Linked DNA regions of Notamacropus eugenii. The protein of the gene in region 2 purifies or fractionates together with the protein of the main gene of each other region. This does not show direct contact. Links are inferred from orthologs where the notes say so. Each region holds a gene or a part of one and is shown on either strand. Other genes may lie near its edges.

What was found. The genes of interacting proteins can lie anywhere in the genome.
Region 1: the proteins of FKBP5 (region 2) and IKBKG purify together in Homo sapiens (affinity purification with mass spectrometry; 3 studies listed by BioGRID and IntAct, with this or other methods). This does not show direct contact. The link is inferred for Notamacropus eugenii from reciprocal best matches to the Homo sapiens genes FKBP5 and IKBKG.

The regions. Positions count from the first base shown.
Region 1 is NC_092879.1:10,233,368-10,240,547, reverse strand, and holds the start of IKBKG (NF-kappa-B essential modulator), read right to left. Parts: upstream 3,017-7,180; 5' UTR 2,755-3,016; intron 1-2,754. Other genes in the region: G6PD (glucose-6-phosphate 1-dehydrogenase), read left to right, coding at 3,551-3,821, 5,410-5,537. UniProt on the Homo sapiens protein: Regulatory subunit of the IKK core complex which phosphorylates inhibitors of NF-kappa-B thus leading to the dissociation of the inhibitor/NF-kappa-B complex and ultimately the degradation of the inhibitor.
Region 2 is NC_092873.1:92,735,088-92,742,676, forward strand, and holds the start of FKBP5 (peptidyl-prolyl cis-trans isomerase FKBP5), read right to left. Parts: upstream 3,012-7,589; 5' UTR 2,754-3,011; exon of another isoform or gene 2,665-2,753; intron 2,577-2,664; exon of another isoform or gene 2,510-2,576; intron 2,085-2,509; exon of another isoform or gene 2,014-2,084; 5' UTR 1,921-2,013; exon of another isoform or gene 1,898-1,920; intron 1-1,897. UniProt on the Homo sapiens protein: Immunophilin protein with PPIase and co-chaperone activities. Component of unligated steroid receptors heterocomplexes through interaction with heat-shock protein 90 (HSP90).

The sequences.
Region 1 (7,180 bases), on a different chromosome or scaffold from region 2:
TTTCCCCCCTCTGAGCCGCTGCTGCTGCCCTACCCTGCCTCTGCAAAGAAGAGGAGAAGGCAGAGCTGCCAGATTCTTTGCTCCTGTTCTCTCGGAAAATAATGGTGACAAAATGAGTTACTAGGAAGTCAAAGGGAGCGTACCTAGTTACCCCCAATGAAGTCATCACCTGGTCCACATCAATCATAAAAACAGGCAGATGTGGACAAACAAAAGAGCAGAGAAAAGAGGAGAAGCACTGTATAGTTGAAATAAGGCAAATGCCTCAATTTTCCAAAAAGGTAAGAGAACAAAACATGCAAAAACACATACCAGTGAACTTGACTCCCATCCTCAGGGAAATTCTCCCACATCGCTAAAGAGAGGCTTAGTGAACATCTACATGTTGCATGGGGAAGGGGGGCTACCAAAAGTCAGCATCAAGGCTTTTTTTTGACAGTTATGAGACTGATTGGGAGGATACTACATAGTTTACCTAGGTTTTAATAAAGAGTTTTAAGACGTATCTCCTGCTATTCTTGTGGAAAAGACAGAGCTACATGAATTAAATGACAATACAAGAAGAAAGATTTAGAACTGGTTCAACAGCTAGACTCAGTTCAGTGAATCTGATGCCAACTTGGCAGGCTATCAGCAGTAGAGTGGGCCAGAACCATGTTTGGTCTATGCTGTTAAACAGAATTTTAGGCCTCTAGGTGGCGCAGGGCATAAAGACCTGGATCTGGAGCAAAGAAAGACCTGAGTTGGAATTCTATGAGGATTCCTTAGCTGGGTGATCCCAGGCATGTCACTTTTCCAACCTCTCAGTTTTCTCAATAGTAAAATAGAAATAACAGCACCTGCCTCCAAGGATCGTAGTGTGGATCAAATCAGATAATATGTATTAAAGTGCTTTGCAAACTTTAAAAATGTTAGCTGCGATTATTATTACCAATGACTTAGATACAAGACAGCATGTGCATGAAAAGTACAAATCACTACAAGGAGTATTGCATTTGGCGTACCTATTTAAGGACAGCATTGTTAAGAAGGAAAGCAACCAGGATGGCAAAAGGCCTAGAGTTTCCCCATCATATCATATCATCACAGGCTGAAAGAACTAGGAATGCTTAGCCCAAGGAAAAAAGCCTGAGGGGCAAGGAAGATAGCTGAGCTCAGGAAGAGAAATTCTATGGGGGCTATTTGGTCCCAGAGTGCAGAAGCAAGCTCAGTGTCAGGAAAAATTTCCTAATGGCTGGAGCTACCCCAGGAAGTTAACAAGTATTTCTTTATGAAATGCCTATGTGCTTGGTCCTGTGTTAAGTGTCCCAAATGGTGGGTTTCCCCTTACTGGAGATCTTCAAGCTGAGGTTGGATGACCAGCTATATTAGACAGGATTTCTACTGGACAGGGGCAGAACTAGGTGGCTCCTGAGGCTCCTTCCAACTGTGAAATTCTGTGAGCAAACTTAGGCAGATTGAGTCCAAAGCATCCCTAAATTATACTACAAATTATATCATTTTCAATCAATTAATCAATAAACATTTATTAATCACCTACTATGGGCCAAGCTATACAGAGTATGTGGAAGTAGCTAGGTGGCTCAGTGCATAGAGCGCTAGGTCTGGAGCCAAGAAGCTGTTGTTGTTCAGTAGTTTTTCAGTCATGTCCCACTCTCCATGATCCTACTTGGGGTTTTCTTGGCAAAGATACTGGAGTGGTTGCTATTTCCTTTTCCAGCTCATTTTACAGAAGAGGAAACAGAGGCAAGTCACTTTTGTCTTAATCCACTGGAGAAGGAAATGGCAAACCATTCCGGTATCCTGGCCAAAAAGAACAGAACATAAATGAATACCAATGAGCCAGGAACCATGCTAACCTGAGGATACAAAGAGGCAAAAGACAGTCTTCTGCCTTCAAGGACCTTATGATCTAGTGGGCAAGGTCCTTTCCAGCTCTAACCCTGCATTGGTCTGAAAAGATGAAGTGGAAAGTTAGCAGCTAACTAAAATTGACATAGTGCTTACTATGTGTCAGTCACCTTTACAATTATTATCCCGTTTGATCTTCACAACAACTCCAGGAGATAAGTGCTATTATTCTCATTTGACAGATGAAGAAACTACGGCAAACGGAGGTTAAGTGACTTGCCTGAGTCACACACTAGCCAGTGTCTAAGGCGATACTTGAACTCGGGTTTTCCAGACCCTCCAAGTCCAATGGCATGGCAGTGCCACTTCGATGACTCCAGAGAAGGGTGCCCCCTTAGTGCCACAGCCTTATCCCGTTATTATCACCATTAATGAGCTCACAATTACATAGTTTTCCACAAGTTGTGGCATCTGATCCCCAAAACAAACTTAGGAGGTAGCGTCCATTATTGTCATACCCATTTTACAGATGAAACATCAGAGGTTCAGGAACTTGCCCGGACTCACACCGTTAAGTGGGAATCCCATCAGAAGTCTAGAAAGATGGTGGCAAAAAAAAACCTGCTCTTTTCCTTCACATTCTCCCCTCTCCCAGAATTACGAAGAATGACTGGGCGGGGGCGGCGGCGACGGGGGGAAGGGGAGAGAAATTGGGCCAATGGGGAGTCAGTTACCCTGAGGCCAACCCCAAAACCTCGGACGGCAGCGGTGGCCCAGATGAGGCAGGAGAGGCTGAACATGGCAGAGCAGAGTGAAGGGACAGGCGGCGGGAAGGGGCTAAGGGGCGGGGCCGCCATGGGCGGGGGCGGGGCCCAAGGGGCGGGGCCTGGGCGTCCGACTCACCCCGGAGGCCGGAGACTCGGGCCTTCAGGCTTCAGCTTCGGCCCCACCGGGGCCCGGGGAGCCGCCAGGCCCGGCCGGGCCGAGCCTGAGTCCACACGCCACGGACGCAGCCGCGAAAACTACACCGAAGGTAGCGACGGAGGCCCCCCCCAAGAATCCGCCAGCTCGGGTCCCAGCCGACGGCTCCGAAGCCCGGACTCCTCAGCGACTCCTCCCCACCCAACACCCACTTCCGGATTGTGCCGGAGGGCTGCGGCAACCCGGAAGTGCAAAAGTGAAAGCTTCGGAGTCCCTCAGACTGTCTCCGCCCCTTCCTCTGGCTGTCTCCGACCTCCAGGGAGCGAGGACTGAACCAATAACGCCTTTGGCGGGGGTGGGGGGAAATTTACCCTGTGTTTCCCGTGCCAGGGCCCACTTAGGTCTAGAAAGAAATCCTAGGCACTAAGCTATCTTCTAGAGCATCTGCTTCCTCCTCCTAGTTTCGGAACGATCTCTTCTGTCACCTTAAGTGCCCCTGACTATGCACTTTATCAGTTCCCCTCCCCACTCCAGGCCGGTATCAGAAAACTAGGAGGAGTGAGAGGAACGAGGGGCGGAGTTCTTGAGGGGGGGGGGGGGGGGGGGAAAATAAGCAAAGGGGCGGGGCTTCCGGCTAGAGATGGGAGACCTCGGCTTGGCGAGAAGAACAGGGAGCGTGATCTGAGAAGGGCGGGCCCATGGCCGGCTCGGGGGGCGTGGCCACGTCGCAGGCGGAAGCGGCGAGCCGGGCGAGGCCACGTGGGGGTGGGAGAGAGAGATGTCGCTGAGGAGGCGGGCTCTCCTGCGCCTGAAGCGCGAGGTGCGGAATCCCAGGTCTGGATCGGAGCCAAAGCCGGGGGAGCAGGGAGGGCCGGGGCGGAGTCAGGGGCCAACGGGGCTGGGCCAGGGGGAGGAGATGGGGAGTCGGGCGAGTGTAGCCGAACTGCACTCGGGCAGACGAGGCATTAACCCGAGCGCAGCAGCGGGCCCGGTCGTCTCCCTTCCTCTGCCGGATCAGCAAGTGACCCAGGATCCGGAGGCGAAGACTGGTGAGGAGGCCCCCGGCCTGCCCAACCCCAACCTCCTCCATCCTCAGCCCCGCCCTGCATCCTGGCCTCTGTCCTGAGCTCTCCATCCTAATAGCCTTTCTCTTAAGCCTCTGCAGTTCCCTCCTTCGACTTAGTCTCCAGGCTCTTTGATCCTCTTTACCCAAGCATCCTCCCTCATCTCCTTCCTCCGAACCCTGGTCAGAAGGCTGTTTCTGCATTGATTGATGACCTTCCTGTTCAGATAAGATACTGTACTCTTTCCCATCTCAGCCCTGGCCTGGCTTTCTTGCCCCTTGTAGATTGTCTCTGGGGGCCTAGATCTAAAGGAAAGTTTCCTCTATATCCCCTAAGGGGTTTTAGCTTAGGCATGTGATCAAACTGACTACTGGAAATACTCTGCTTCTCCTACCTACCTATCAGGGAGAACCTCTAACCCTTCGGAACCATCCGCTGAGGGAGATCAGATCCCACTGAGGTCCTAGGGAAGTTGAAACAAGCCCCAACAGGTAGCAACAATCGAACCTGTGGCAGGGGTCTGGCTGAACTGCAGTTAGCTGGATTTGGACCCTGGTGGTAGTGGCATAACCCCTTGCGGAGAAGGTTGTCTTTTTGCTCTAGGTTCTCCCTTGAGACTTCTTTTTAAAAACAAAACAACCACGCACCTGCAACAGTCTTCTTCCACAGTCCAGTGCCTTGCTGATGCAGATGCCAGATAATGTTGCATCCTGAGGATTTTCCAAAGTAGTGACTGTGAGGACTGGGACAGGCCAGTTTTAGAAATAGGAGAGACATCAGAAAAGGCCAAGAAGAAATAATATTTTGTGCTTGGTTATACTGGTCATATGGCAAAAAATATACAAGCTGGATGGAAATGTACAGATCAGTCAGTCTAGCTCCCTTAAAAGGGAAGCAACTTTGGACTCCAAGAGAAATAAACTTGTCCAGGGTCACAGACAGTGACTGAGTCAGAACTAGGCCCCTCCCCCACCCCGCCCCCTACTCCCTACCACCCCCACCCCCACCCCCACCCCTATCATCTTCAAAGCAAGAGGATAAAGGAGCTAATTAGCATTCTGCCTGAGACTGGGACCCATTATCTTCAAAGCAGAAGGAAGATCAGTGAATTAATAATGTTCCTGCTTAGGTCCTGATTTTCTAGTCGACATTAACCCCCACCTGTGATCCTGCCCCTCAAGCTATGAACACCTTGAACTAGAATCCCAGATGAGAGGCTCCAGCTTGAACTCATCCTCCAGACATCCACTTTGGAAAGAAGGGGGGGGGGGGGAACACCACTTTGATCCCCAGACTTAGCCATTGAGTATCCTGACCAAACGTAGGATATTTAAAATGGGCTTAACAGGTACAAAATGTGACTGCTGGAAGCCTCCTCAGATACCCTCAAGGCATCAGAAACCTAACGTTTTTTATCCCTTCTCCTAAACTCTGAACTGGTAATTGCTTCTTGGAGATACCACTTGAAATCTGGGCTGCCTGGGGAGTTCACTTGTCCCTCTTAGGGGGAGGGGCAATGACCTTCCAACTCTCTCTTTGCCAGAGCTCCCTCACAATCCTTTCATTCCTCTAGAAAACAACATGGCAGAGCAGGTGGCACTGAGCCGGACCCAAGTGTGTGGAATTCTCCGGGAAGAATTGTACCAGGGTGATGCCTTCCACCAGTCAGACACACACATATTCATCATCATGGGAGCCTCGGTGAGTCACTCTGGGCCTCAACTTTCCTCGTTTGTAGTATGAAGGAGCTGGGACTCACCCCACTTCTGGCTCCAGATTCTCTGTTCCTACCTGCGCACTCACCTCACAGCTTCTGCTCAGCATAAGTCCTCGGTCTCCCAGTATCTCCAAAGGCCCAGTTCCTTCTGTTCTGTTCTTTGGGCCCTCTGTTGAAGATTATTTTCATACTATCTTGTTTCTCCTGATTTCTTGTCCTGGCGTCAGGGCAGTGATTATCACCCTCATTTTATAGATGAGGAAAATAAAACCCAAATTACTAACGTGATTTTTTTACCCCCTGATGTCAAGAGCAAGTTAGTGTTAGGCAGGTTTCCAGCTTCCCAGGCTAGAGCTTTTTGTTTTTCCCCTCAAAATCAGGGTGTAGAGGACAACTTGTGGAGAGGCTGGTAATAGGGGAAGGAGGGAAGGCTACTCCCTAAGGCTGGTGAGACTTTCTTGAGGGCAAATGGTGTCGGAAAGGTCGTGGGTCATTCTTGCTTATCAACTGAGTGGTTATCTTGCTTATCTTTGTAATTTCTTCATCTAACCTGGCTCAGTCTTCTCCAGGCCTGGTTTGAATAGACTGATAAGGGGCTTTTTTGGGGCCCCTTAAGGGTTACTAAATACCCCACTATTTCCCTCTGACTGAGCCCTGTGACCCCAGGGGTGTTTGAAGTCCTTCAAAGGAATGTCATCATGGTTTGGGTTGGTTGTTGGTTTGTTTCTGGGGTGCTGAAAGGAATACTCTTCTAAATTAACTGATTGGAGACTTGGAAGGAAAGCCCCACCCCTGTACCAGGGGTTAGAAGCCCCTGTTCCCCAGTGTCCTCTTCACCAAGTTTCATTTAGAATTCAGGGTTTGGGCTTAAACTTGCACTTATCACCCCAGACCTGCTCTAGGATCATTTGTTCTTCAAGTTTGGTAATGCTCGTTGGCATTTCCAGAGTGCTACAAGGTTTGCCAAACACTTTTCTACCTTTCTCAGTGCTTCTATGGGCCTCCTAACCATGCTGGCATTTCTGATTGAGAGCTCTGATCCCCAAGGTAAAGGCCTGAGGTGGAATTCAAACTCAGCCCTTTCCAACCCTAATCCTTCCTCACCAATGCTGGGTCCCTCCAGCCGGGCCAGGGCATTGGGGATTTTGCACTCTGAAATGACAAAGTGGTGCTTCCTGAGGGCCATTAGTAGCTTATGGAGTGTGCAGAGAGTGGAATGAGTTGGCAGAAGAGGGCAAGAGTAAAGAGAAGCCTTTCCTTCTCTTTCCCTGGCTTTCACCATGCCCTTCTTGGTTTCAAGTACCTCTGTTCCTGTAAGTCACTGTTTCCCAACCTTTGTCAGTCCAAGGTCTTGCTATCTATTGACCCATTTCATATAAGTAAAATAATATTATTTCAATGGGAACCTCTGTGGTCCCAAAGGAATCCATTGAAAGTACTCCGTGTAGCCCCCAAAATCTCTCCAAGTCCATGCCCACAACTTTCCACTCCCAGGAGTGCTTCAGTCCTCCAAGCAGTTATTAAGAGTCTATAGGATGTCAGACATATAGGGGATATAAGGGCAAGAGAGAACCAGTCCCTGCTTCCAGGGAATTTAGGTCCGAGAAGACTCTGTGTGTGTGTGTGT
Region 2 (7,589 bases):
GTATAACTAAGATAGAGGAAAAAATTCAAATAAAGATATTCTCAGACTTTTTTTAATGACTGATTTTTCTAGGTAAAAGAACAGAATCAGAACAGAGAAGCTTAGTGTTTAAATAAGAGAAACTTGGAAAAGAATATTTATTTGTAATAATTGTCCACAAGGATCCTTCAAATACTCTATTAAAACTATCTCATTACTTTATTAAATGGCCACTTTAAGTTCAGGGGGAAAAATTAAATCCTCATTCAAATGTATGATATCTTATAATTTAAACTAAAAAAGATTAAAATTAAAAACTACTTTCAAAAGCATGCTTTCTAGAACTGAAACTTACAGCTGAGCTATAAAGAACATATACTATATCAAACAAGGCATTTTTAAAGAAATATGAATACATCCAGTTCTTCTTGATAAGTAATTTAAACAAAATCCACCCTACTACATATCAAAGATTTTTTAACCTCTTACTATTTCCATGTATAAATTTAATTTTTCATACATACATGCATACATATGATATACTATACTGTTGAACATGAAAAAATAACAGACTGCAGATTGGAAACAGTAACTTGTTTCTCATTGATATACTATCACTTCCTAGATACTTTGTGCTCCACTCCCTTCTGTGCCTTACCACTCTTGAACAACTACACTGGTTTCTTTGTAATAATCCAAATCAAAAGGTTTTTTAAAAAGTCTAAATAATATATTATTTCAAGAACTACTTTTTGAAAGCCAACCAAAAGAATAATTCTTCTTGTAGGTCTTTCCTCAAAGAAGCAAAGAAGGCTATTCAGATTGGGGGGGGGGGGGTACTTCAACGCTAATAATCTGAACAATATGAAAACTCAAAACTGAGAAAGAAATCCAAAGTTCAGCTGAAAAACATGAAACAATTCACCTAGAAGCTAAATACCTTCTATTATGCTACAATCACAAAGTATACACAAAAACTTGTCACAAACACAAAGTAATTTCCCACAGTATTTCCTCCTTAAGTAAATCTTCAAGTAATAACATGATTTAGTTACTACCATTCTCTTAAGAAAGGCTATTTTACAGTCTTAAGGAGACCTCCCAACTAAATGTTTTCTCATCTCTATGCTAAAATGTTCCCTGATCAGATCTACTTGCACAGGGCAGAACCAGAATCTTGACCTACACTTAAGAATACCTTGACTTTTAGTCCTGTGGATGGTTTTCCAAAAATTGTATCATACTACACTTCACCCAGGGTACTAAAAGACTAAATTGTCATTAAATTAAATTACAATTAGGTTATTTGTACAGTTATATTTCAAATTCTCTAACATCAGAACATCTTTAAGTGGTATGTTTGAGGATTAAAACTATCTTTAAACTACTACTTTAATACAGTAGAATCAGAGTAGTCATGACATTTCCTCTATTACAAAGTGAAAACTTCTCTCACATACCATTAAAAATCATGAGTGCAGTATTTTTCAACATCATTTTAGCAGGTAAACAGCACTGTTTTTTCCACCTAACTATAACATGGTGGTGGTAGATTTTACTCCAAGACAGGTGAAATAATAATTAAGAAGGCTACACTGTATACCTCACATTCTATGGAAATTCTAAACCAAAAGAGATCCTTGGGAAGGCTCGGGAGACAAAAGACAGACAAGGAGCAGATGCAGGACTAACAAGTAATAGCCCAAAGCTCTGGCTAACTTCAAGAAAATTAGTTTTGAACACTGACACAGCCCAAAAAATCAACGAAGGTGAGGACATCCAAAGTCGTAGTCGTAAACTAGTACCAACATACTTCTCCTTTCCAGGCTACAGTTCCCAACTTTGTCTCTCGAGGGCAATTAAACAGGAAAAGTGGGGCTTTTCTTTTCCTGCTACGGGAAAATAGAAAAACTCTTACACTCGAACTTCACACACGGTTACCTCTTGGAGTTCCGATCTGATAAGATCCTTCCCCCAGCCTCTGACTGAACAGACAACAGCACTGGACATTGGTCATCCAGATGAGGCAAATTCCTGCAACGGGTGGAAGAGAAGAAAGACACGCTTGGAATCGTGATCCGTCAGGAACCGAAGGAGAGAAAAAACTAAAGGGCAGAAAAAATAAAAGGCCAGAGCAACCTGTCATTTGCTTCTCTTGGGGGAAAAAAATAGGGGTGCAGGGGGAGGGGGAAGAAGCAGTGAGAAGAAAAGGATAAAAGAATCCCCTCCTGGTGTGTTAAATTCTCTCCCCCCCCCCCCCAAAATAACCACCTTTGGGAAGATAAGCCGGGGAGCAAATTTTACGGACAAGGAGGTGCAGGGATGGGGGTCTGCGGAGGACACGCTCCGAAAGCTTCCCAAGCTGCTGGGCAGTCAGGGGTCTCCCGGGAGGGATGGGTCCCTGGCTCCTCCAGCCCTCCAGGGTCACCGAGGCACGAGGCGCAGGGAGGACACGCGCGCGTACACATACATACATATGTATATACATATATACACATATATATACACACTTCTCCATACACACACTCACACGAGGTAGGAAGAGCTCACAGGCGGCGCGCCCAGCTCACCTCACCTCACCGTCCCTACCCCACACTACACAACTCGCTTCTCTCCCCAGGGGTTACCAGGGGAAAGGCGGGATGGGGTGGGAGGGGGAAGGGAATAAGGGGGGGGTGCCCGGACCTGATCCCGATCCCAAGCCTCCGCCGGGCTGCCGCCTCCTCCTCCTCCCTCAGGCCCCATCCCCACGGTCTCGGCCCCCGCCGCGCTACCTGCCGCTGCGCTCGTTCTTTCTGGCTAGCCCGCTCGCCCCCGTACCCAACCGCTAGCCCGCGCGCCGGTGCGCCGCCGCCGTTGACTGGCAGAGCCCAAGAGCCGGCCGGAGTCCCCCAGCCCTCCCACTCCTCCACCCACTCTCCCCGCTCCACACTCACACACACACACATACACACACTCACACACACTGGGCGGCACGGAGCGCTTCCCCGCCCCCGCCGGCCGCAGGACCGGCCTCCGATAGGTCCCCTAAACTGTCGGTCTCCTTCCGAAAGGCGCGCGGGCCACCGCCCCGCCTCTTCCGATTGGCCGCCCGCGCGCGGCCCATGCAAATGAGGTTCCGCCTCCACTCCCTCTCGACTAGTACTCCTTCACTCCCCCTCCCACCCCGAAGTCTCCCCTTGCCCAAGCCCCAGCGGCCCACGTGTCTTCTCTGTACCGGACTCCATCGCCACCCCCACGAGCCTAGGGAGGATTCCAGAGCCCTCGGACGCCCCCGTACCCACCCGGTAATCTTTCTGGGGGGACTCTGCTCCAAACCGCTTACTCTGTCCTACTCCTTTAGGACAGTCCTGCCAACCCCCCCTCGATCTGACCTACGAGAGCTGCCCTGCAGATGGAAGGGGTGGCTTAGGCTTGAAAGGAGTGGCTCCGTCCCTAGCAGACTGCCTGGACATACTAAGCTCGGGAGCCCACCCTGGAAAGTCAAAGATGCCCAGCTGAGGACGGAGAAGTCCTCAGCCTCCTGGACCCAGGCCAGTGGGGGCTTAGTACATATTGGGTTAAGGGAAGTACCTTCTTCTCGAATGACTGTCAGGAACTTTCCTTCCTCATCAGCTCCCTGATATCCATTCAATACAGTTCACATGTATAAAAATGTTTTAGCGGTGGCTACCTGCTTTCCTCGTAACAATCCTGTGAGGGGAGTAGGAGAATGGATTAGTCCTAGCTACATTTGGGGAAATTGAAGCTCAGCGATATTAAGTTGTTTACCCAAACAAAGTCAAACAGCAAATGGCAGCGAAGTTAGTGAATAGCACTCAAGGCCGTTATCTTCGGACCCTGGAAAAGATCAGTGCTTTTTCCTACCACAGCCTGTCAATCAAACAACAAGTATTTATTAAGCAGCTGTCACATGCAAGAGAGAGTACAAGCCTGGAAGGGACTCAAGTAAGAAACCAGGAAGATCTTTGCTCTCCAGGAACTTCCCACTTTGCCTCTCAGTAACTGCCACAAAAACTTTCACATTAGAATTAGGAAAGAATTAGGTTTCTCCGGAGTAGGAAGATAGGAACTGAGGGAGCACAAGATTAAAGTCCATAAAATCACATGAAGTTGTTCAGATGCCCACATCTAAAGATTAAAAGCTTGAAAGAGATCGGGTTAGTCACTAAAAGGAAGTCCTGCTTTACAAAATGGATTGTAAATTTGGGGAGCTGATCTTTCTAAGACAATGATACAGGCTGAAAATGCGAAAAAGTTTTCAGTTTAATATACAAACCATTGAGAATTGGCTTTGTAAGCAGCAGCACTAAGTGTTCAAAGCTGGAATAAGATAGTCTAGGGAACAGAAACTAAATCTCTTGATTCTCCTACTTCTATACAGATTCTACTACATCTCAGCCAAATAAAGGAGTTTATAATTAAGCAGGGGAGATAAAACAACATTTATATCAATAAATATAATAGTGAATTGTGATCAATTAATAAAAGAGGCATGTACTGAGGGCTTTATGAGGAAAGTAAAAGAATTATATTAAATTGTGAGCTCCTTTAGGGCAGGGACTGTCTTTTGGTATCTTCAGTGCTCAAAGCCCAGAATGAAGTATGGGCTTAATAAATGTTTATTGATTATTGATTACTTATTTTGTTCAGTTCTGTTCAACTCTTTGTGACCCCACTTGAGGTTTTCTTGGCACAGATACTGGGGTGGTTTGCCATTTCCTTCTCCAGCTCCTTTTACAGATGAGCAAAGAGGCAAACAGAGTTAAGGGACTTGCCCAGGATCACAAAGCTAGTAAATGTCTGAGGCCAAATTTAAACTCAGAAAAATGACTCTTTCTCACTCCAGGCCAGGCAGTTTATTCACTTTTCCACCAAAGGACATTTTGGTAAGGATTTATGGAGGAAAATCATATTTGAGCTGAAGATAAGGTTTAAAAAGGATTCTGCCCAAGATGTTGGGCACAAACAAAGGAACAGATATGGACACCCCCCTAGTTCACCACCTAGTTCACCTTATTCACCTCTCACCTGGTCTATTGCTTTCCTTGCAAATTACTCCCAGAGCCCCAGACTCTCTTGTTTCCAATCCATCCTCCACCTAGCTGTCAAACATATTTCTAAAACACAAATGTGACCTTTTCACTCTCTGATCAAGAAACTCCAGTGGTTCCCTGTTCCATTTAGGATAAAATGCAAGCACCTTTGACATTTATTTAAAAGTCTTCACAACCTGGTTCCAGCTTAATTTTCCAAGTTTATTGCCCCTTACTGCCCTTCACATACTCCATGGTCCAGTAAAAATGACTATCAGTCTATGTGTTTTTCCTTGGTTGACCCCCATACCTAGAATGGATTTTCTCCTTAACCTTCCTTTCTGAGATTTCCAAGCTTCCTTCACAACTCCCCTCAGGTTCCTTCTCCTCCAAGAGGCCTGTTGCCCTAGTTACTGGTGTTCTCCCCATTCCCAAATTACTTTCTATATACTTTGTACATATTTTGCTATATCAATATATACATATTGATCACAGAATCAGTTTAGTGATACAGAGAACCTTACAGGTCATGTAGTCCAAGCTGTTCATTTTCAGATGAGAAAACTGAGAAACAATTTTCTTGAGGGTAGAGACTGTCTTTGTATCCATAGCATCTGGCACAGAGCCAAGTATATAATGTCAGGCACTTGATAAATGCTTGTTGAGTGAATTAGTTAATTGATGGGACTGATGTAGTAGCCACTTTGGCTCTTGAGTAGGGGCCATGAAAAGGAGTATTGAAAAGGCTGGAAAGATAGATTGTGGGTGGTCTTACAAGCCAAATACTGGGGGTTAGATTTAATTCCATAGACAATGGGGAACTCCTGAAGATTTCTGAGTAGAGTGCTTTTGTCACGACAGTCCTGGGAAGTAGGGAGGATAGTGTGAGCATTATTGCCCTCATTTTATAGATGAGGAAACTGAGAGTCACTGAGGTTTGATGACCAACCCAGAGTCGCACAGGTCATAAGAATATGCTAATGAAGGTCAAGGAGGAATCTTGAGCTTGGATCCTAAACATGTGTACACATAAATATAATACAAAATAAAGTCTGCATGACCACTTCTTGGGGGTGTTATAAAAACAATATCTGTGTTGGGCAGTGGTTTACACTCAATTTTTATAAGAACCCTTCCATTTTTAAAGATCATATTAGACGATCTCAGAGTTGCCGCTGGAAGAAAGATGAGGAAGGATACAGGATTATCAATCATATGATCCTGAGTCTAGAGCTGGAAGGGACCTTAGAAGCCACCCAATTCAGCCAGTATATTTTACAGATCAGAACCTGGAGACTCAGAAGGTAAGTGACTTATCCAAGGTCACTCAAGTATAAGTGGCAGAAGTGAGATTTGAAACTGGATCCTCTGAGTCCAAATCTGTTATACCTAATGTGGTATAAATTTGGAATCAGAAGAATTGAGTTCAAATATTGCCTCTACTACTTGCTACCTGTGTAATCTTGGGATTATCACTTTAAACTCTCTGGACCCTCACTTCCTTAACTTTAAAATGGGGGTATTGGCTGTATATCCTCTAAGGCCCCTTCCAGCTCTAAATCTTATGAATAATTTATGAATGGTGTACAGTATGAACTACAGTGGAGAAAACCTAGAGGCAAAGAAAACCAGGAGTCTGAAAAAGGAAGAAAGAAGGCATGGTCTAGGGTGGTGTCAATGAAAAAGAGGGCACAGATTGGGAAGGATGCAACATGTAGAAAGACCAGATAGGACTTGGTAACTGCATGGATGAAAAGTAGAGAGAGAGGAAGACAAGAATGACACATCTTTCAAGTCTTAGTGACTAGTGAAAAAAAAAGAAAGGTGGTACTGCTGACAGGAGCAGAGAAGTTAAGAATTTCATTTAATTTATTTTATTTAATTAATTTCATTTCATTTCATTTCATGCATTCACTTATTAATATATTCCAGGCACTGTGCTAGGCACAGGAAATATAAAGGCAAACGAGAACAATTCTTGACCTTAAGTTGCTTTATACTCTAATGGGGAGGAGGAATACAAAACAGTATAATATAAGGAGAAAGTTTGGAAGGGGAGGGAACGGTCAATGATGAGTTCATTTTTGGACTCATTAAGGACAAAATGAGATCGTCAGAAATATTTTATCAAACCATAAGCTGACAGTCAATCTCGCCTGGCGCTGGTTCTCTGTCCTCTGAAAGTATTCAAACTGAGGTTGAATGATGACCTCTTGAGGAGGGGGTTGGAGTCCTTGACCTCTAAAGTCTTTTCCAACTCTAAGAATCAATAGAATGGAAGGACCCCAAGAGTTCAAAGGAGCAGCTGGGAAAGCTTAGGAAATATTTATTTGCACATTCAACCATGTTGAAGCTTGGTCGATGGAATTTAGAGGGCAACCAGCAATGAGTAAAAGTAAAAAGTTATGCTAGTAGGCAGAAATTGAGACTGAATGGCTTTGGGTGGTGGGTGGTAGGACTGGCCACAAGGCAGCCAATAACAATTGACCTTCCAGGCACAAAGTGAAGTTCTGCTAAGGCAGAATTTTGTGAAAAAGAGTGGACCAAGTGCAATGGCAGCATATATAGACCATA